Linked DNA regions of Alligator mississippiensis. The protein of the gene in region 1 purifies or fractionates together with the protein of each later gene. This does not show direct contact. Links are inferred from orthologs where the notes say so. Each region holds a gene or a part of one and is shown on either strand. Other genes may lie near its edges.

Region 1 (11,417 bases):
TGTGAAAATGTTGTACTAAGCAAGCCTTAGTTCCGCTCATAAATCAGCCTGATGAAAGGTTTGAAAGCCTGTTTCTATGGTGTAGTTAAATTACTACTGAGTAAGTACAACTGAGTTTGTCCTTAGTTTTTCCATGAAGCATAATGTAACTTAGACAGAAGTTAGGTTAAGCAACAGATTAGTGTAGAGAACCAGATAAGAGTTTCTGAGCTGAGTAAAATGAGGCAAATAATATTTAAATATAGATCTCCAACATATTTAAGATAAAATTTAAAAGTTTGTCTAAAATTATTTCATTTTACTAGTCATGAAAAAGTGAGACCTGGTATCACATGCAGACAGGCCAAGTCAAAAAGAATTGAAGTTGATTTAATTCATCTCTCCAAAGCCAAACTTGCCTTTACAATTCTCTCTCTGGATTATCACCATCTCTGGAAGAGTTCACGTATGAGCAGAGTCTCATACTGTTTATGGATTCAATGTCTTTTTTCATTCAATGTGAAAGAATCTCAGGATATCCATCATCCATTCTGTGCCAGAATCTCTTAATAGCAACTACAGGGATTTTGGTGCTCTTATATCTGATAGTTAAACTACGCTTAATCGGGATCTCTATCAGAACACTCTTCCTTTTGCCAGCTGTTGGGGCAACAGCCTAGAAGAGCGGTTCCCAATCTGTGGTACGGGTACCACCCTGGTATGCAGGCAACCCGTTAGTGATACACAGTAACAGATTCATTATAATTACTTTATATGACAAAAATTTGCTGGTTGTACTTAAAGTTGTATCATTTTAAATTGGTGGTGCACAATCTGTCAGAGTTTGGGAACCGCTGGCCTAGAACAAGACGTAGCACTACATGGGTAAGAAGACAGAGGCTAGACTAGTTTACTGTCTTCAACTCCTGCAGTTCTAGTCATCCTTCCAAAGTTACAACATACTTGTGGTTTGCTGTTCCACTCTTGAAGAAATAGATTCCAAAATGGTAATTTCTGAGTGGGTTTGGCAATATGTGGAGGTCAATTTTCTTACAGTGCAAGGTTAAGAATGATCAAATATTCATAACATAAAGCTAAGTTTGAAGGAGAGACTTACAGGAGGAGAGAAAAAGGGGCAGGGAAGGGTGTAAAGCAAAGCCCACCAATACTTGAGAAAGCTAGTCAACTACACTTCTACCTTCCATCTGTGCTCACAGTACAATCCCTGTAACATGACTGGACTGCAACTTGCTTTAGGACTAAAGGAATAGGCCTACCCTACAAAGAGAACCCTCCTTTTGAGTAAAGATGAATATAAGTATCATAATAACAATCCAATGTTGAAGATGTACTGATGACGTTCCAAATACTCTATAGTTACTGGCTATGCATGTGACTAGACCAAGTCCCCAACCCTGCTCTCAAACAGGACAGAAGTGAATACACAAGCTGAGTTAATGCCCCAAATCTTCTGGGAGATTTTCCTCACTAGTCATTGAAATAACATAAAAAAACACAACGTAAAAATAGTGCCCATCCGCCTTTCACATTCCTCCACATCTCTTTGCTTCAAACCTTAAATCCTTTCAGGCACAGCAACCACTCTTGTTTGCTTTTTAATCAGTGTGCAATGAGTGGACTGCACCTGAGTGAATCTGCATTTCATGTAATGTTCCAACCCCTGCTTATACGATGGAGAGAAAGGAGAATTCTCCTCTTGTTGGAGCATTTTTTTGCATCCTGTTACATTATTAAAATATTATGGGGGGGGGAGAACAAGATAAATGTTTCCTTTGTGGGGAAAAAAAGATAAATTCATTTTCACATGCAAAACTAACTTTTATGCAAATATAGCCACAAATGAAATGTCATTATTCTACTGACAAGCGTGGTTTTTCATAGTTAAGTTTGGTAGCGTTCCACCCTGAAAAAAAATCACCAAACACGTGTACAAGCACCCAAATATTTTACACACTATCTTTGTAGAATGTAACTATGTTCACAGTGCAAGTAGCTTTTCCACTGTGAAAGAAAGACGATCCTTCTTCTAAACTGAAAAAAATGCAGACAAGACAGCCTTTTCAAACACTAGGCGAAAGTTCTGGTGTGCTTTTTTTCCCCTTCAAGCCAGAACTACAAATGGATTCACACAGCCTTTCTTGTTTTGGTACCAGGGACCAAATTTTCAGCTCAAGATTCCTTTTAAACAAACAGAAAGGGGAAGGGGACATAAAACTAAAAAACAAGCAGGCATATTTGATCACTTAGTGATGAAAAGATCAGGCACTCATCGGGTGCAGGGTTTTATTTTTGTGCATTGTGTTAAAAATTGGAAACCATATGTTTTAAGAACAGCTTCAATAGTATCAGTAGCTATGATCCTCCTCTCAGATTACTTTTTACTGCCTGCCTAATTTTGAGCTTTAATAGCTAACATGCACTTTGTTCATCAGTTACAAATGTTCTGAATTTGAGTGAAGTAGAAGGCTAAGCAACACAGATTGGTCCCTCATCAGTACTAAAGAAACAGCTAGCAATTTGTTTAATGCTAATGTTGCTCAATTTTTACTTTTTACAGATAAATAAATATTCATGACAAATAAATAGACCTACACAAAGAAAATGGATTCCTCCCATTCTGAATGATGAATGTGAGCTATGAGCACAAGGGCCCTTTGTTACAGCTTTGTTGTTGTGTTGAAGACTCATTCCTACAAGGTGCTAAGCACTGATTCAGCAGAGCACTTCAGCACATGCCTAAACTTGGAATACTCACATTGAATTTAAAGTTAAGCGTGTACTGAAGTGCTTTGTCACACAGTTTTTGAGCCGACTCTGGTATTAGTTAAGCACATGCTTAAGTTCTTATCTGGATTAGAGCCAGTGACTTTAGAGTCCTCCAAGATTACACTCTGCTAGCCAGCAATATCCTTTTTATTTACACCTGATGTTTTTCTATATGACAGAGAGAACAAAAAATAATCATTCTTATATTGCAAAGACTTTGGGACAAGATGCCTCTCTATTTTTAGCATACTTTGTAAATGAATTAAGTTATAATCAGGATCATAATAGTTCAGAATGTTTAAATATGGAAAAGCACATATTACTCCTGAGAAAACCAATCAGGGTCCCATTATATCCTTTTTTATCCCCTTCTGGGCTAGCAGGGCTTCTCACCTTTCTAGCTGTATATCAGAAAATGGTTGAAGATCCTAATTTAAATATGTCAACATTGTTCCCCTTTTCTGACAGAGTTGGATAAAATGGAGAAACCTGTTAGTCCTGATTAACAGTGTCAGGTCATTCCTGAGTATCAGGCAAGCCTCGGAGAAAGTTGTTAATTTTCCATCCTCACAGAATATACTATTTCTACAAATCACACTGTTTTGTTCCAGTTCCCCGATCCTCAGCTACTTACCCAGCAGGCTGCCATGGAGCTGGGGCCTCCGGGCTTCCATCTTTTTTTAAATCCTACCTGGTGGGCTACCATGCAATAGAGGCTACCCCGATCCTCTAGGTGGGCAGCTCCCTAGCTGACTGGGTCCCTACTCAGGAGATAGGAAGTCTTCCTGGCTGCCCAGATCTCTGAATAGTTGTCTACTCAGCTCCCTGGGACGATGTAAGAGCTATGTATGTAAGTGTCTCTCTGACCTGACTTATAGGATGGGAAGCCAATGAACCATAGAGGCAACTTAGGTGCTGTGTGAAATTGTTTGAAAAAAGAAATCCATTTTAGAAAACCCCTAAATAGCTAGTTTTAAATATTCCCAACCCGTTGGAAATTTGATGTGCTGGAATTTGTGTTTAGATTCTCGACAAAAATATTTGTTTGGAAGTATGAAGTTTTCATGGGATAGAAATTCCAGTTCCTGCAGCGCAATACTGAATTCACTGCACTGCTTCAATTCTGTTTTGAATAATATTTTTATCTCTTTCAATTCCTAGAAGACACGGGACCAGTTCCAAATTAAATGCCACCCACATCTTGGAGATGCATAAGAAACCAATTTTGCATGCTTGGACACAGCTATAATAGTGAAGGAAAGCAGCCTATACAGCTCCACATTTCTCACAGTTTAGTAGGATGTATTTACCCATTTTTCATAACAATTCTGGTGAATAAAATCTGTGGACAACTAAATGCTGATGCCATTCAGGTTCCATTTCAATGTTATATTATGCATAAGCTAGAGAGAGCAGTCCCACTTGTGCTGTGCGAACTCGTAGACTTGATCCTTTTCCCAGGTAGTGCTGCAGTAAACAAATCTCTCTTCCAATAACATGAGGAAAAGCTCTAGAAATTGTGCCTGTTGAGGGAAAGAACGTGTTTTTCTTGCTTGCTTCAAGCATAAAAGACTGTCTGGTATATAGAATTTGTAAGTATAGATTCTGCTTGCTACTAATTCACTCATTTCCTTTCTTACAGCTGTCTTTTCCACGAAACCTCTATCTGTTGTTGAAATCAACAGAAGCAGCAAACCCTTCCAGAACAAGCACAGGACGGGGTGTTAGGGAAGCCCAGATTTAAATTTTGACTCACTCTCTGGCCCTGTGGCTGAAAACCGGGAGCAGATTCCATCTATTGTGTTTGTACAGTGCCTAGCACAGTTGCTGTGACATGCTCTGTCTCTGATGTGGTCATTTACACATTTGACACAGAGGAGAAAATGCATGGAGCATACTTCTCACCATTGTGATAAGAAATGACGCAGAAGTATCACAGACGTATCCCCAGGCACTACACAAAACAAATATTAATAATTACTTAAGCACATACCTAGCTTTAAGTTCACAAGTAATGTCATTGACCATATCCAGACAACTCAATGTGTAAGTCAAGCACCTAAATAACTACGTTATTAAATCATGGCTTGAGTGCTTTATCCATACTTATTTACCAATGTTAAGGAGTTAGCTTCATACAGCTAATGTGGCAGTCAGATGACTGGGGAAGAAGGAACTGCTGCAGAGGCAAGTCCTAGAGACAATCACATACTGATATCTTGGTAGACCAGTCACCAGATGAGAAATTCTAGGTGAAAAAAGCCAGAGAAGAGTTAATCCAGGCTAGTGATTGAGGCTGATTTAATGTGTGAAAGCTGCCTGAGTTCAGAACTGCAGAGAAACCATGGGGAAATCATGGGGTTAGTGCTGTGAATTGATGGAAAGTAACAACTGAAAAAATGTTGGGGTTTTTTTAGGGCAGCAAGAGGTAGTTCGTGCTAGGAAGTTTGCCAGCTGATTCTCGGCACTTTGTCCTCTTTGGACTGTAGGAACACACTTCGCACTCAGACTGATCTAAGTAATTTTGATAGTAAAAACAGCTGTCTGGTAGAAATGATGTTTTTGTTTCTTTGTCAAAAGCTTGAGTTAAATCCACGAGGGCTGCAAGTTGTTTAGATCTTGAACTCAACACCCTTTGTGCTTCCTGGGATTTTCCCACAAGGACCCTCCATTGCAGTTCATGTGATTTCATTTTCCTGAAGTTTCTTCTTGAAGAAAGGGAGGTAGATAATATAAGCTATTGCCATTGGGGTTTACTGTTATCCTCTGATGCCTTGTCAAAATTGGGTAGCCATACCTTGCCCAGTTTGGTGGAAAAGGTGAAAAGAAAAAGCACAGCACAGAAATGTAACTTCCCTAGGATTCCCGTGACTTGTACGCTGAAAGACCACATTCCCAAATACCATCGGCCTGGGAATGTGCACATATTAGAACATATAGTTGTATGCCTATATATGTGGTAGCGTGTATCAGTGTATATGTGTGTGCACACGTTTGTGTATGAGCCTGTGCATATGCGGATGAAAGGGATGTGAGTGAAGTGGGTGCTGAGAGTACGTGTTTGCACACATGGAGTGGGGAGGGGGGGATGTGTGGAAAGTACAGTATGTTTATGTACTTGGAGAGTAGAAGTGGATCTGTTCATTTCCTGTTTTCAGATGTGCCCGTATGAGTGTTCACTGAGTGTGGGTAGGCAGATCCCCTGTCAGAGACAGATGTTCCCCTGAGGAAGACGGACAAAATCTGAGGGCAGTAAGTGGAAAAGTGCATAATTTAGATTTTGAAGAGCTCTGCTCCATGACAGCCCCACGTGTGTCAGTGGCATGACACAGGGGAGCAGATACTCTCATATGTTTGCTGGATCTGGTTTGAAAACTCGGGTTCCACCCTACATTACATGTATCCGACGAAGCCGTCACAAAAAGCACGTGATAGTATTACACATCATCACATCAGAAGACTTTACTGGATTTTGTTATAAAATATGAAAGCATTGTTTAAAGTACTTCTTCAGCCAAACAGTTAACATTTTATAACAAGCAGATTGTTGACAGTAGCCGAAGAAGCAATATGAACTCAAGAGAGGGGGAGAAAAAAAGTCAGTCTATCAAGCTCAGAGCTCAAATGAGAGGGAAAAAAAATCAAAGGTCATAATTAAAAAAAGAAATCAAAATGTGAAGGTCAGTTGAGAGTCAATATATTAGCAGGTGTGTTTAGAGAGCTAAATCTATGAACATCCTGGTAATAATTCATCCTATATGAAAGGTCTGGGAGAAGTCAGGATGAAATCACTGCTGAGGTGGGAACTTGCGGAGTTGCCAGCTCTAGTATTTTTATTGCCCCGCTCCCAGCCTCTGGTGTCTGACTTGAGAGACCGGGCTCTGGGGAACGTGCTCTGCTCTCATGCGAGGATCTTGAAATGAAAGGTTTTCTTTAAAAAAAAAAAAAAAAAGCGTAGAGAACAGCTAGAGCAGGGTCCGTGCCGGGGTTCATTCGCCTTCCCACCTGGCTACCTGCTTTTTGGAGGAAAAAAAAAAAAGTCTCATGATGTGTCAAGATCAACTCATGATTGCGTGTGGCCAGAGTTATTCAGATCGACTCAGCGCAGCTCCGCGTTGTGGGTCACTCTAGCTCCCCCCTGCACGCGCGCACACGCACACGCACACGCGCACACCCCGCTCCAGCAGTGCGACGCCGGGCGGGACCCCGCCGCTCCCCAGCGCCCTCCACCTGCTGGGAGGGAGCCGGAGTGTGGGCAGAGGGCAAGGTGAGGGCAGAGGCTTCACGGTGCGACCGGGCATGTGCGGCTCGCTTGCACATGCTCACTGCGAGCTCGCCGGGACGCGGAGGGCACGCTGCGAAGCACGGCGGATTCTGCTCCAGCCCCGGCTCCGGACCAGCTGCCCCAGCCTCCCTGCGCGGGCGGCGGCGCGGGGACGCGGAGCGGAGAGCCCGGCGCCAGCACCTCGTGCAGCCCGCGGTGAGCGCCGCGCGGGGAGGGCGGCGGCGGCGGCCGGGGATGCCCGGGGCAGCGGTGCCCGCGGAGCGGCGCGGGCGCGGGGCAGGGCAGGGCAGGGCAGGGCAGGGCTGCCTCCTTCTCCTCCTCCTCCTCCCCCCGCCGCTCGCTGCATCCCGGCCCGGAGCTGTCACCGGGGCTCGCGAAGCCCCTTCCCTGCTGCGGGCGGCGGGGCGGCCCCGCGCGGGTGCCCTGCTCCGGCCGGGGGCAGCCGGGACTGGAGGCTGCAGGGTCGCTGTCCGCCGGCCCGGGCACCTCGGCGCCGCTGCCCGGGCTGCTGCGTGCGGCCGGCGGGGACGGGGTGCGGGAGCTCCCGCCAGGGCTGCCCGGAGCGGCTGGACAGTGCCCCTTGGGCTTGGACCTGGAGAAGGCTCCGGGGACCACAACCTGGCGGTGGCCGATGAAAGACACGGAGCTGCTTCTTCCCCGCAGCTTACCAAAACCCAACTCGGCTTTAAACCTCCGCCCGTTGATTTACCGAGTCCCCGTCTAAACCGGCGAGCCGGGCTTTTAACCCGTCTCCATCCCGCCCAGCCCGAGCGCCAGGCGGAGGAGTTCGTAGGCAAGCCTCTGTCCGCAGTTGTTCAGCCGGGAAAGCTTTGGAGTGTGATTTACACACTTTATTTAAAGTTTTTGAGTGTTAAATTAAGTTGGAGTGAGAGCCAGTGGCCTCCAAAGGAAATTATTGCTGGTGTGCAAGTGCTGTGTTTCAAACTTAATCTGTTGACTGAATGATACATTTCTCCTGGGTGAAATTTTAGTTGTTAAAATGCATATGGTTAACCTGAAACCTGTTTTTTGGTCTACATCACGTTTAGCAACAAGCGTTTTGTTCAGTAGAGTACCAGGCGTGTGCACATCCCTTAATGCAGTTAATGTAACTGGCAGGAATGGTTTATTGTTTAATCCTCCTAATGGAGTTTGCTAGTTTACTGAGAGATTTCCTCCCCTGGAATGCTTTACGTGGAGGGCTTTCTTATCCTTTTTTCTCCAGATGTATTGAATACTGTAACTCAGATCTATTCCTGCATGGGGATCCCAGAAAGATGTTTGGTTTATTTCCAAACTAGCTTCTCTGAATTCTTTTCAAGCTGTTAGTTTTCCTTTATTTTTCTAATTAGATTTCAAAAACACAGAAAAGATGACTTCTTCCTTCCTTCAGGCCCTGTAGCACTACTGTGGTTTTTTTTTTTTTTTTTAAATACAATACTATTAGCTTTCATTCGTGCTTAAAAGCGACAGCATGATGCTGCCTTCAGATGATGTTGTGTGTGACTATGAGTGACTTTCAGTACAGTTGTCTTAATAGTAATGATTGTAATAGGATTCAGTATATTTAAATATCTTTTAAATTCACCTTTAAAATTCATGTGAAATGACTGTTACCACAAATAATGTTAATAATTATTTTTACTTAACTAGTATCTCTGCAGAAAGCAAAAGTAGGCACCCCTGCAAAAAATTGCTTAATGATTTCGTCTCGAGCCATAACATTAATTAAATCAAACTGTCAAGTAAAAATCACATGAATCAAAATATACTTATGACTGAATAACAACAGGTGGCATTTTCAGCTTTAGTTTTTCCATTTGTTTTTATTTTTCTCCCTGCATATTTTGTTTTAAAATACTGCAGTGAGACTTGATCCCCATGACTCACTAATCACAACAACATCATATGGCTGAAATGCTCCAAACGGGCTGCTGTTTAAAATATTTCACAAACTTTACAATCTTAAATTTTTTTATGAGGGATTCATTCGGGAGGAATAAAAATGTTTTTGTTGGAGGGGGAATTATCAGTAAGAATCTGTGTGCAGCTACAGTACGTGTGCAAATGCATCTTTATTATGCAGACAAGTTAAACCTAGATACGCATACTAGGAATGAGGAATGTTGTGAAAATATTGTCATTTAGGTTATGCTCAGAGCCACTGCATAGTGTTTAAATAACACAGTGAGTGGTACTTCAGATTCTTCTAAAGATTAAATAGCTTTCTATATAGCAATCAGTCCTGCAACACTTATACAATGTTTTATGTACGTGAGTATTCATAATAAAATCAGTGAGACTATTTGTGCTCAAAAAACGTGAGCGGGGTACGTGCTTGTAGGCTCCGTTGATGTGTGTTTCTATGTGCTTGCACCACACGCACATTAAACTGCAAGTCCATTAAATAAAATTCCATCATTTTCCGCTGTCATTTTAACTACTATTTCTGACAATGCTGTAGTACAGATTTATTCTGATATAATTTCTAATTCTTCTCAGTAAGATTAATTTTTTCTCTCCCAAAATGTGCAATAGCTAGATGTTTTTAAGGTGTCTTCAGCCGGACTATCCAACTAGAACAGTGTTGAAGACTAATTAATCTTTGCCGTAAACTCCTTCTGCAATAAATTCACAGGCTGTTGTACTTAATATGTGGAAATGACTGTTAGGATTTTTGCTGCAGTGGAAAAATGCTTTTAAAGTTATATGAAAATAAAGATGTTTTCAGAATACCAAGAAACTATTTTGGAATTAATTTTGACTGTTAAATCTGAATTTTCAATTGAATTTAACTCTTCATAGACTGTACAACCTAATCAAAGAAATATTTTATATGATGGTCATAAATAAATGTACCCTGTAGGTCATGGAGGCATTTGGCAGGTGTAGGGAAACCCTGTGTTATTGTTTGCCTATTTATATGAATAAATACAGGATATCAGGCTCATGTCTGCCAGTCCAATACATCTTGCTACATCGTATCACAAGAACATAAAGAGGAAGGAAAAAGTAAAGGCAGAATAAACCATTAAATATCTAAAGACTTGGAATAATGGAACTAGCACATGTAAAATAATATAGTGTTTAAATACATTTTCAGTATTTGGCTTATTAAGCGTAGTGCTGTCCTTAAAAAAAAATAAGTCAAACAAACCTCTTTACACAATGTTGTCTCCAGTACGAAAAGGATTTGGAGGTGAGCAAACTGGGAACACTTAATAGAAAAGAAATCTCATTTTCTCCCCCTCTCCCTCCACAATGACAGAAAGACCAACCTGGTCAGCTGTGTTTTGTTTGTTACATTTAGTGGCTTGAAAGGTCCAATTAGAAAACAATTGGTGGTGGCAACCTAACTCAGGTAAAACAATACCTCATCTTTATTTAGAGATCTTAACTGGGGTAATGGTGTTTAACAAACAGTCTGTTTTAATCAGGTGAGGATAAACCCCTCAATTAGGTAGCACATAGCTGCAACTACATCTTGGTGATGACAAAATGTCACTGGGGGCTAAGAGCCCCTTATGAAGGTCTTATGTTGCTATAGTTTTGTTAGAACTGGAAGAAAAAAATCAAGCAAGATTGTGCAGTTCTATTTACTTGTTTTTTTGCAAAAAGATTGTTAATGTGTGGTGATGAGACTTAAAACAGATAAAAGGGACCTTACTCTCTTCTCTTTAGCAGGCTGCTGTTAACCAGGGGTAACTCCACTGAAGGAACACTGGTATTAATAGCAGTGTGAAAAGAGAATCTGATCCGAAACATCGGTCACTGCACAGCTAGTTCCAGCTGTTGTCACATGCTGCATCCTTTTTAGGTTTTTTTTTATGCTGTACTGTGTGTGTGTGTGTGTGTGTGTGTGATGTATTGCACGCACTGTACACCCTCTGTATGTTCTGGATTTAGTTATATCATTGCACTTTATTTAAAGATAGATGGTTTACGTGTGTGCATTAAAAGGAGAGAAAATTATACAGGATAATCCTTCCCATGTAAACTACCGGTATGTAATTGCTTATTTCCTAGTACTAGTTTATTTAACATGGTGCATGGTTCATTACCAGAGAAGGAATAATTTCTGCTTAACAGATTATGGGGGATGCCGGAGGTCATTAGAGATTGTTTGTTTGTTGTGAAATATAGGCAATATCTTCACTTGACTCTTCCATACCGTTTTACCAGGATATCTGAAGCAGGCTTCTGGCTTTCTAGGAAGGCTTGTGTATGGAACGTGAAGCTGCATTTATTTCTGTTTTATGGATTACTTATTTAGTCTGAGTACGATTAAGGAAAAAAAGAATGAACACATACAGAGTTAATGGCTCTACCTAGCCCTATTACACCTGGTTATGGCAACTGGGACATT
Region 2 (12,027 bases), on another chromosome or scaffold:
GATTGGAATGCAAATTTGGGAGTTGTGCATACGAGTGAAAAGCAGCATTAACATATTATTCCAATTAGTTTTTATCTACATTGGCTGTTCGCTAATCTGGACTACAGGATAAAAGGATTTACATTTTTAAAATTTTAATAAGTACTACGAAGGTCTTTGTGACAGGGCGCCTCCCGGGGCCGAACTCTGTGGCCCGACCGCCTGTCACCGTGACAGGGGCCTACTCAGGGCCGAGCTCTTCGTGGCCCGCCAACCTGTCTCTGGGCAACCGCCCGCTTATCTCGCCCGCCACGCCTTTGATGATAACTGATACATATGTCGATGTCAATTAAGCGGGAGGCTACCCATTGTAATGCCCCGATGCCAGGGGGCGCTCTGCGGCTCCGACCTCCCCTAATACAGCAGCCCAAGCCTCGCAGATGGCATCACGGTGTTAACACTATCACCGGCCCCACACTGGGCCCCAGAATCATCCTACATGACCCCACTATGATCCCTCCTGATCAGATGGCCTCTCCGCCTTCATCTGAGCTACCTAGCCCCCCCGAAGTCATGTTTCCCTCTCGGGTGTGGTTCCCCCGGAACCTTCGGCCTCTTGCCCTGGCCCACCTCAAGGCGAGTTGGGACCCCAGGCCCCCGGCTCTTGGGCGTCCCTCGCGGTGGGCCCCAGGCCCTTTTGACCCTCTCTGGTCCTGGCCCCAGCATGTGCCAGTCGAGGGTACTATTCCCTTCGGGCTGAGTCTCTCTAGCCGCTCACTCTGTCACTGGGCCTCACCATGCCACTACTCCCCATCCTCTCGGGGGCAACCGCAGCACCACGCCCACATCACTCCCACTCTCGGGGTCCGCTCCTCTGGGCCCCTCACAACACTGGCCCTCTAGGCCCTCCAACATAAGCATGGGTAACCCACCCGGTGGTGGTAGGAACTAGGGGTTAAGGCGCCCCAACCCGCCTTTCACCGGGGTGATCACTGGCCTGGTATTTCCTGGGGGCTCCCGCGCCACTGAGAGCCCCACCAGACCACCCACTCCCGGCTGGGTGCAGTTTCAGGTCATGCCCAGGACCAGGAGCCTCCTACCAACCCCTTGCGGCTCCCCCTTACCTCCAGGTCGTTCACAGCAGCCCTGCGGCCAGGCAATGTTGCTGCCTGGCCTCCTGCAGCCAAACTGCCTTATTTATATTGGCCCCAAAATGGCTACCCTAATCAGGCACCTGGAGGCTGCCAGCTCCAGGCCCTTAAAGTGGCAGAGACACCCTGTGCTCTGCCACAGTCTTGCTTAGCAATGTAAACTCAGTGTAAGGTTTTTAAAGTTTAGTAGGATTATATTTACCTGAATATAGCTTATTCTTTTGTTTAACTGTTCAGTGCTGCTTTGGCAACTGAGTATTTTAAAGCCTGTCTACAAAACAAAGCACAAGGGTAGCTGAATAAAAACAGGAAATGAAAAATTGAAACTTAAAAAAGGAGAGAAAAATAGGTGTAACAAAAAAAATCAAAGAACAGAAGAAAGTATTTAAAAGTTTAAAGGAAATTTGAAAGAAACATTTGAAACAAAAGGAAAGTTAATTTGTACATGAATTTTAGGATTCATGGAGTATAAGTGTGTCAGTTAAAGATTTCGTATTCATCCAGACAATAAAGTGATTGACCATTGTCTCCTCTGTCCCCACTCCTCTTGCCCTCTCCCTTTCTCTTGGAAAGATGGGGCCTTGCTTCATTCCTACCCAAATTCCAACTTTTAGGTAATTACTTTATCTACTTGTTCCTTATGAGTTTAAAAACAAGGAAACCCTCTTCAGAAGCTGCTTGAAAAGCAGACTGAGCAGAACTGAGTTAGATATAAGACATGGTAAAGTGTGCGGAAAGGTATCTGAATCTTCCTTGCACTGAATCTTCTGCAGTAATTTACACCAGGGATAGGGAAACTTAGTGCAACACCTGATGGTGCTCAGTTTGGGCCCAGCTTCGGCAAGAAACACACAAGTGGAAGCCCATTGTGCCTCTGTGAGCCTGGGTCCTCTGCGGGACATGCGGCAGACCCCAACCCTGAGCCCCAGCATAGCCGGGAGGCAGGTGGCGCCTGCAGTGGATGGGAGCTAATCAACTGTGGGAAGCAGCTGAGAGGAGCTGAGGAGGGTCACGCCCCCCGCTCCTACTTGGCCCACCTGGCGCATGAAACAGGGGAAGAAGGGGGCACTCACCTGTCCCCTTCTCTGGTGGGGCAGGGACCCCCAACCCCTGAGAGGGGCGTGGCGCCAGTGGCAGGCCATACTGCACCTGTGCAGAGTCTAAAAGGGCCCGCTAATGGCAGAAGCCACAGTTTGGGCCTGGCTCCAGTGAGAGATGCACAGGTGGAAGCCCGCTGCACCCCCATAAGCCTGGGACCCCCTAGGATCCGCAGCAGGACATGCAGCAGACCCCAAACGTGACCCCCAGTGTAGCTGAGAGGTAGGTGGGGCCTGCAGTGGGTGGAAGCTAGTCAGCTGCAGGAAACAGCTGAGAGGAGCCAAGGAGGGTTACGTCTCCTCTCTCTCCCCGGCTCCTACTTGGCCCAGCCCTCCAGGGAGCCACGTGAACAGAGCGCACAAACAGGCGCACTCTGGGCCCGGCGTGCAAGTTAGCATGGGAGTTCATGCAGAAGGGCGTACAGGAGGGACATAAGGCTTTAAGCAGCAAGCCTGAAGTGAAAGGTTGGCACAGCAGTAGCCCAGACTGCTACCTGAACCATGGTGGGGATGCACTTCCCCCTGAAGATTCCCTCTGTGACTGGCTCCTCCTCACCCACCCCAGTACCTCTGAGGTCTCCACCCAGATAGAACCTATGGTTCTGGCCTCCACTCAGATGGGGCCCCTGGCTCTTAGTTGTGGGGGTTGCCTGGCATGCCTGCAGGCACATGGGATCAAAAAAAATTCACACCTCCCCTTGTGAGGTTTGCTCCATACTGGAGTCTCTGGAGTGCCAGATATGGAAGCTCCAGAGGGTGGTGCAGAGGCTGCATGCCATCAGGAATGGCAAAGAGGAGACTGACTCTTACTGCCAGGTTCTTCACCAGAAGGAAGAAGAATGAAGAGCAAGGTTGGCTGGCAGGACAAGGATGGACAGGAGGAGCTCCCATAATGTCCAGCCAGGGGTCACTTGGATAAAGGTTGTTTCTGGCCCCAAAGTAACACTGCACAAAGGTCACCACCCCCCTGGACCTTCACAACAGGTACAAAATCTTCACAGCATCAGAAGAGCCAGCAGAGCTCCCAGCTCATACACCTGAGGAAGAAAGGCAACCTGTAACCACCCCTAAGAAGGAATGCAGAGTGGTCATTGTGGGAGACCCCCTCTTGAGGGGGACTGAGGGAGCTATCTGCCACCCTGATCCCTTAGCCCATGAAGTATGCTGCCTACCAAGGGTCTGCATCCACGATGTAGCTGAGAGGATCCCAAAACTTATCTGGCACTCTGACCACTACCCCATGCTCTTCATCCATGTAGGTACGAATGACATGGCTTGGAGCAATCCCAGCCAGGTCATGAATGATTACAGGATTCTGGGAGCAGGGCTCAGAGGGTTGGGGGTACAGGTGGTTTTCTCCTTGATCCTTCCAGTTACAGGCCACAGGCATAGGAGGGAGAGAAGAATTGAAGAAGTAAACAGAAGACCAAAGAATTGAACAACTAAACAGAAGACTATGGCTTCTACGACCACAGTCTGCACTTCAGAGAGCCAGTGAGTTACTGGGAAGGGACAGCCTCCACCTCACTTGCATGGGGAAAAAGCTCTTCTTGGTCAGAATGGCTGACCTGCTTGACTGGGCTTTAAACTAACTTCGCAGGGGGGTGGACGCTTAACCACTGGTGCAAGCCCACCAAGCGCCGACCACAACATCAGCAGGTCAGGCTGATCAGCAGATCAGATCAAGGGAGCTCACTCCTACCCCAGCCCAGGGACAGGGCTCTTCTAGGAGTGCAGGGAAGCCTAGGACCTCTGATGGTAGGCTCACTTGCCTGGACACAAATGCCAAGAGCCTAGGCAACAAACAGGAGGAACTGACCCTTCTGCCAAACAGAAATTACTACATTCTGATAAGGATAACAGAGACCTGGTGGGACTCCACCTATGACTGGACTACAGGTATAGATGGCTATACCTTGTACAGGAGAGATCATGTTGCAAGAAAGGGCAGGGTGTAGCTCTCCTTGTGAAGAAGCAATACACTTTCATACAGGCAGAGATTGGTAGCCAAGGAGGGCAACTTGAGACCTTCTAGGTAAATGTACAAGGGAATGTGGTGAAGAGGATATAACAGTAGAGGTCTAGTACAGACCTCAGGAACAAGAATTGACCAATTTTTTACTAGGAAACAGGCTGAAGCTGCAAGGTCCTGCTGCATGGTTGTCACGGGTGACTTCAACTACCCTGACATCTCATGGGAAGAGCACTCAGCCAAATCCAATCAGTGGCAATGCTTCCTCACATGCATTGATGAGCCCTATTTGTCTCAAGAAATCTATGGGCCAACAAGAGGCAAGGTGCTGCTGGACCTGGTACTGGCCAAAGGGGATAATCTAGTGAGCGACCTGAGAATTGAAGGGAAGTTGGGTGACAGTAACCTCGAGTTGATAACTGAAAAAGGAGAAGAGGTGGACATATTTATGGACTTCAAGAAAGCCTTTGACCTGGTATCATATGATGTCCTCGTGGAAAAATTGAGGGACTGCGGTCTCGACAATCTCACAGTCCAATGGCTGGAGAACTGGCTCCATGAATGAACCCAGAGAGTGATAGTTGATAGAATTGAATCAACATGGTGCATGGTGACCAGTGGCATCCCCCAGGGCTCCATTCTTGGACCTGTACTCTTCAATGTATTTATAAATGATTTGGACTGTGGTGTCAGAAGTGGACTGGCTAAGTTTGCTGACTACACCAAACTATGGGGAAGTGTGGCACCTTAGAGGATAGGCTGGCGATCCAGGCAGACCTCGACAAGCTTACAAGGTGAGCGGATCAAAGCCTGATGGCGTTCAACACTGAGAAATGCAAGGTGCTTCACCTTGGGGCAAAAAACCCCCACACCACACTTATAGACTCAGGTTAGTCTAACCTGGCTAGGTTGAACCGGTTTGTAACCATACAGACATCCCTTCTGGACTGAGGAAATGCCGGCACATGCCTGCAATGGCTCAGGCTAGTATTTTGGGGGCGCTAGAACAGTCTTCCCTTCCCTTCCATGGTGCTGAGCTGAAGGGGGGTGGGGGAGCATAGCCAGACCCTGGCAGGATGCACTCCCCCCCCCCCCCCCGCCTTGCTGCTCCTCTGACCAGCAATGGAGCCAGTAGGGAGTTACACAGCATTTACTTACACAGCAGGGAGTTGCAAAGCATTTATCAGCCTATCAGCAAAACAAAAGTATTTCTCATCAGTTTAAGCTCTTCTTAAACAACTTTTTCCAAGAAAGGAATAGAGGGACATTAACAGCTACCTGTTGATTAGCTCCAAAAAGCCATAAGCAGACACTGTCCTGTCTGCCTTTGTCCTGTCTGCCTTACACAGACACCTCTCAGCATTAGCTAGCAGACCACATGCTGGCTATGGTCTGTGCTGTGGGAGACGGGAGGGGAGGGATCCCTGCTTGAGCAGGGAGTGGTGGGTGCGGGATGGGGCAGGGCATAGGCAACTGGTGCCGCCTGAGTCAGAGGTGGCATGTCCCCTCCCCCCACAGCAACCAGTCAGCGACCAGGGAGGTGTCCCCTCATGACCGATCCTACCAACTGGTTCCCCCACAGCCAACTGCTGCAGTCACTTCCAGAAGTGGCTACGGCTGCTTCTGGGAGTGCCACAGGGCCCCCACTCCCCGGCCAGCGCTTGCAGTGGGGCGTAAGCAGCAAGCACAGCCAGTCAGGGGGTGCACTGATGCTCTCAGAGGGTGCACACTCCCATGTACCCCATACGCATCACCACTGGGGCAGGGGGAAGCCAGGTAGACCCTGCTGTGCCTCTAAGTCTCTGCTGGAGCTCCAGCCAGGGAGCAGAGGGGTGGGGCCAGCTCTGCTGTGGAGCTGTGTGTGCTGCCCAGGGTTGCAAAGCATCTGGGATGCTGGGGGACTCTGGCTTAAGTTAAAGCAGGTAGGTGTCTGGGACAGACTTCGCATAAACCGGTTGGACCCAAATCAGTTAAGTTTGATACTACATTCAACTAGGTTTATCTTAAACTGGTTTCAGCCATTTTCAAACTGGTTTATGTACACTGAACTTATGTTCTGTTACAGGTTCAAACCAGTTTCTGATTACTTAAACTGGTTTGTGTGTAATGTCTGTCCCTAGCCAGAGAGGGAAAACTTACCAAACTTAACCCAGAGTACATGCAAAGAGGGCTCCAGGATACAGGAATAACAAAGCTTGGTTCATATCTAATGTGACACCTGAAGGCAAAGACTCAGATATTTTGGTACTCATGTGAACATCTCTTCTTACCAAGGTTGTCGCAAAATAGACCTGACAATAATCAGTCAGCAATTTCACTGATATTTTTTGCGCTTTCATAACTACATGAACTGAAAAGGTATGGTCATGTGAAACTGTCTTAAGTAAATGTTTGAACTGTTTGAGGAAATTGGCAGCGGAGAGGCTGTTTTGCTTACAGCATTGAGAACGCAGACGATCTGCACTACTCAGAGTAACGGGATGGAAGGTGGACGTAAGGATTTCCAGCTACTAGCTATACGACCCTGATGGCAAGGCAGCAAAAAGCCTGTTTGAAGAAACCACTCTGCAGTTGTAAATTATTATGTGGCAGAGCAGTCAAAGAACCAGCCCCCCCCCGGAAGAATGACAGTATAACCAAGCATTGATACCAGAGGACTAGTGATACTAGTAATATCCACACGAATGACTTAAGTCATTTTGATTTAAGAAGGGGCATAACCCTCAAGGTTTATGAAGAAAGCCGGGTTCCCCTAACCTTCCCCTTCCAGACCGTCAGCGCCGCTGGACGCTGACAAACGTGCCTGCGACCAAGGCGCGGTTAAGACAAGTTAAGACCATGAGCCCAGAGCCGGACACGCTGGGTAAGGTAAGGCCCGGCCCGGCCCGGCCCGGCCCCGCCCCGCCCCGCTCGTGCGTCACGGGCCGCCCGCCAGGTTTTTACTGCCAACCGCACTTGCTACTAGCAAGTAAGCGTCAGCGCTCGAACATGCCCCGCAGGACAGCAGCAGAGGCGGTTAATACCGGCTTCCGTCTCCCCGCTGAAGCGGCCACCGGAAACAGCCGGCGGTTTTCAGCCTTCCTACAGCCCGCGAGCTGTCGCCCCTCCCCCGCGCGGCGCAGTCATCACATGTCTCGGCGCGGATCGATGGCGTCATCAGCCTGCGTCAACCGGCCGCCGCGATCTGTCACGGCATGAGCCGACACTTGCTGCGGGCGGCGCGCGCCGCGCTCCCCGCCGGGGCCCGGCAGCTGCGCACCGCGGTCCCCCGCCGCCGCGGCGCCTGCGACTTCTTCCTGGGGACACCGCTCAAGGTGAGGCCGCGCAGGGATCCTCGGACGGGTCCTGCGGCCAAAGGGAAGGGCCCAGGGCGCAAGAAAGCCGGGAAGTCCGTGCGGCTGGTGGGCAGCGGGGACACTTGCCTGGCGCCGGCGAGGGGAGCTTCAACCCGCGAAAGCTGCAGTCTCCCCGTGTCCTGTGCCTGCCTGCGTAGGAGCTGCCCCGGCCGGGTCCCTCCATAGCACAGCCCGCCTTGCCCAGTCTCCTGCCCCACTTACTGTCCTGTGAGTCTGCTGCCTCCTGCCTCCTGGCCTGGCTGCTCATCTGCTGGCCAGGAAGGCGGCTCTGGCTAGGCCAGAGGAGCCGGGTGGGTGGGGGCTGCTTTCCTGGCACTCCTCCACTCACGCCTCTGGGCAGTTTTCCTGGGAAGTGTCCACTGGCTCCTCGGGTGTGTTAGAGGGCCATGGGTGCTGTCTGGTGCACTCTGCTCGGTGTCCCTCTTTGGTGCATTCATTTTAAACCTACAAACTCACACCTAACCTTGTTTTCTCTTTAGTGGGCCCCTGAAATCAGTTCATGTCCTCAGTGAACTCCTTACTAAGGCAGGCGTATAGTTCTTCCTTGATGGGCCCAAGTACATGATCCTCTAAGCGCATCAAAAGGCTTATGCCAGCAGGGCCAGAGATGCAGAGATATAGGTACATCTCTCTATATAGATACATTCATCTGTATCTCTTTGATCAGTCTAAAATGGCAAATCTGCTCTACCTTTTACTTGACTTCAGGCTAAGGGGCTGCCCAAGGGCAGGGCTGTCTCTCATGTCAGTGAAGGGTAGAATATTTACTGCCTTGGGGCTTGGGTGTGGGGCTAAGTTGAATTCCAGGGCTTTTTGCAACTTACGTGGGAGTTTGAAGAAATAGGAGTCAGACCCTGAGATCAGTTGGAAAACGCATGGCAAGATCTGAGAACAGGCCGGTGTGGTCAGGACAGCAATAGGGTGGGGTGAACTGGGGAAACACTACTCTTGTTTTCTGACCTACACAGCAAGAGGGGCTTTGGGGGAGGTTTTGTGTTATGTTTAGTTTAATATTAAGTTATTCTAGTTTTATTCCCCTTCTCTTGACTATTACAAGTTCTTTGATCTCATTTACTTGCTCATTGCTCCTCGTAGGTATGTCCCTACCAGTGAGAAACATTCATTGCCCGGGACAACTAGCAGTGGCATGCATTTGTGCCACTACTGGGGACCGCCCCGGCACACATGCTCTGGCCTGCAACAAATTGCCCCAGGTGGGGTAGGGGAGGCAGGGGCCAGCATCTGGGCTAGCCCCAGCAGCCTTACCCAAGATTCTGGGGGCCTCGGGGCTCCAGTGGCAGCAATTCAGGCATGCAGAGCCTGGCTGGTAGCTAGAGTGTGGCTGTGACTGGCCAGGCTCTGATTTCTAGTGGTGCATGCTGCTGCCATGTGTACGCTGCCCCACTTTTTTCTGGTGCCTCTATTTTTTTGACACGGGAATTTTGACACTCTTGGTGTCAACTCCCAGTGCAAATTAGTGCAAATTAGCAGCGCAGCAAATATGTGGCACACGTGGTCTGCAGAGCTGTAAATCACATGTCCTCATGGGATGTGTCCAGATGAACATGCACATCTAAACTAGTAAAACTCTGCCTAATATGTTTGTCTTTTTCCTTTCTGATTTCACCCGCAAATTCTCTAGCCAGAAAAGTACCACGGTCTTCCATCCCAATTTATATCTATTGCTTGGTTTCTTTCAGTGCCCCTTCTTGGTTCTTTCACTTCAGTATTACTGCTCTAATCATTCCTTCCCACTCCTCTCTCTGTCTGCCTTTGCATGCTTTCCTTTTATGGGGAACATTCCCTATCTCAGTCTGCCAAGCAATTTCCCTCTCTCAAGTCCCTCTTTAAAACAAGCTAGGCCAGGAGACATTACCTGGAGTGAGTTGTGTCCCTACTCAGACCAAGGAAAAACTAAGTTGTTCCATTTTCTGGAATATCTTCTATGTTTTGTGCCCCTGTCTTTTAGAATGTAATATCTCTGGAACCTGAGACTGTTCCTGTTCACTTAAGTGGTAAACCATGCCGTGAATGCTCTCCAGTCTGAAAAAGAAAATCAGTGTGACTATTTGCATACAACCTGATATCATTTTGAAACTTAAGTCTTTAGGATTATATTTTGATTTGCAGACTAAAGGTTCTGTGCTATCAGTTAATTTGACAAAGAAAAAGTATTAGTTATTTTACTTCCTGTGAGTTTAAATCATTAAGAAACATAGCTTGTGGTTTCTATTCATTTAATAAAAATATAAGATACTCTTCAGTTGTCTCCATCTTGTTGCACTAAGCCAGAGGTGACGAACCTATGGTCCATGGTCTGGATTCGGGCCGTGGAGCCATGTTCTACAGCCTGTGGGCCTCTGCCATGGGTCCAGAAATACGGTGGCCTTGCAAGCAGTAGTTAATTGTCCTGACTTCCAAAGATGCAACAATTAATGCTTCTGCCACTCTTCCTGCTGTCAAATCTCCAGACATATGGGAAGCCTTGTAGAATGGATCCAGAGCACAGAACTGCGGGACTGCCTGTTGGGGTGGAAACTTGGAAGAAGGAGGGTTAGCAAGTGCCATGGTTCTGGGAATCACAGCAGTTAACACTGCTGTCACCAAATTCAAACCATTCAGGCCAGATGACAGCTCTGTGCTCTGGATCCAGTCTTCAGATTGGCCTCATGCTACTCATCTGACCTGAGGAGCTAGATGAGTTGGACACTGCTGCACTAAGCTGCTAGGGCAGTGTCCATTGCTTGTTACCATAATAGAAAATAAGTGTTGGAAGGGACCTCAGGAAGTCATTTAGTTCAACCCTCTGCTCAAGGCAGAACCGTTCCCAGCTATGTTATCTCAGTCAAAGCTTTGTCTACCCTGATCTTAAAAACCTCCAAGGATAGAGGTTCCACCACCTCTCTAGGTAACTTGTTTCAGTGTTTTACTACCCTCCTAACAAAAAAGTTTTTCCTAATATTGGAACTAAACTTTGCTTGCTGCAACTTGAAACCATTGCTCCTTTTCATCTATCACACCACTGAGAACAATTTTGCTCCATCCTCTGTGGAACTACCCTTCAAATAGTTGAAAGCTGAAATTAACTCCCCTCTCAGTTTTCTTTTGTACAGATTAAATAAAACCAATTCCCTCGACCTCCCCTTATACGTGAGGTTCCCCCAGCCCCTTAACCATTTTTGCTGCCCTCCACTGGACTCTCTCTAACTTGTCCACATCTTTTCTGTAGTGGTAGGCCCAAAACTGGACACAGTACTCCAAATACAGCGTCACCAGTGCTGAACAGAGGGGAATAATCACTTCCCTTGATCTGATAGCAACACTCCTACTAATGCAGCCCAATATGCTCTTTCTTTGCCTTCAAGGCAACAAGGGCACACTTGGCTCATATTCAGCTTATTGTCCACTGTAATCCTTGGGTCACTTTCTATAGAGAAACCTGTACCAGTGCATAGGAGTCTTCTGTCCTAAGTGCAGGACTTGGCACTTGTCCTTATTGAACCTTATGAGGTTTCTTTTGGTTCCATCCTCCAATTTGTCTAGGTCTCTGAATCCTAGCCCTTCCCTCCAGCATATCTACTACTCTCCCCAGCTTGCTGTTATCTGCAAACTTGTTGAGGGTGCACTCCATCCTATCTTCTAGGTCACTGAGGAAGATATTGAACAAAACTGTCCCAGAACCGACCTCTGGGGCACTCCACTTGATACTGGCTGCCTACTGGACATCAAGCCATTGATTAGTAGTTTTTGAGCCTGATGTTCCAGCTAGTTTTCTATCCACCTTACAGTCCATTCACCCAGGACATACTTTAGCTTGCTTGTGAAAATGTGGGAGACCATATCAAAAGCCTTGTTAAAGCCAGGGTTTATCACATCCACTGTTGTTCCCACATCCACAGAGCCAGTCATTTAATCATAGAAGGTAATCATGTTGGTTAGGCATCACTTGCCCTTGGTAAATCCATGCTGGCTGTTCCTAATCACCAGAGAGCCTGGTATTCTCTGGTTAAAAACTCACAAATTCTCTGATTTTAAAAACCCCAAATTCATGATTAAAATGAAAAACCACTAATAATATAAGAACACAAAGTTTTATTTATATATTTACAATTTTAAAGCAATTTGTCAGCCTACCTGTGCCTCAATCACTAATAAAATATATTCTAAGTACCTTTATATTTTGGTATTTGATTTTCAGTTTTTTATCATGGAAAATCAGAGTTTCCCCCTGCCCCTGTAGATCATGAGGGGACAGGTCCAGGCTCATCACTCCCAATCCACAGCCCCTGGGACCCTGCCAATGCCTCTTACTCCCCAACCAAAGTGTCGTGGCCCTGCTAGTGCCTCTCATTCCCTACCTACAGCCCCCTCCAGCCCTGCCAGAGGGGTCCCAGCTGCTGCAGCTGTGGGGCCAGGGACCCAGGTCTGCAGCCCCTGCCCACCCCCACAGCAGGGCCCAAACCCTGGTTGCT

The links.
Region 2: the proteins of EYA2 (region 1) and ACAD9 purify together in Homo sapiens (affinity purification with mass spectrometry; 3 studies listed by BioGRID and IntAct, with this or other methods). This does not show direct contact. The link is inferred for Alligator mississippiensis from reciprocal best matches to the Homo sapiens genes EYA2 and ACAD9.

Annotation. Positions count from the first base shown.
Region 1 is NC_081832.1:15,620,183-15,631,599, reverse strand, and holds the start of EYA2 (eyes absent homolog 2), read left to right. Parts: upstream 1-7,039; 5' UTR 7,040-7,065; coding exon 7,066-7,246; intron 7,247-11,417. UniProt on the Homo sapiens protein: Functions both as protein phosphatase and as transcriptional coactivator for SIX1, and probably also for SIX2, SIX4 and SIX5.
Region 2 is NC_081835.1:29,679,549-29,691,575, forward strand, and holds the start of ACAD9 (complex I assembly factor ACAD9, mitochondrial), read left to right. Parts: upstream 1-7,387; 5' UTR 7,388-7,393; coding exon 7,394-7,513; intron 7,514-12,027. UniProt on the Homo sapiens protein: As part of the MCIA complex, primarily participates in the assembly of the mitochondrial complex I and therefore plays a role in oxidative phosphorylation.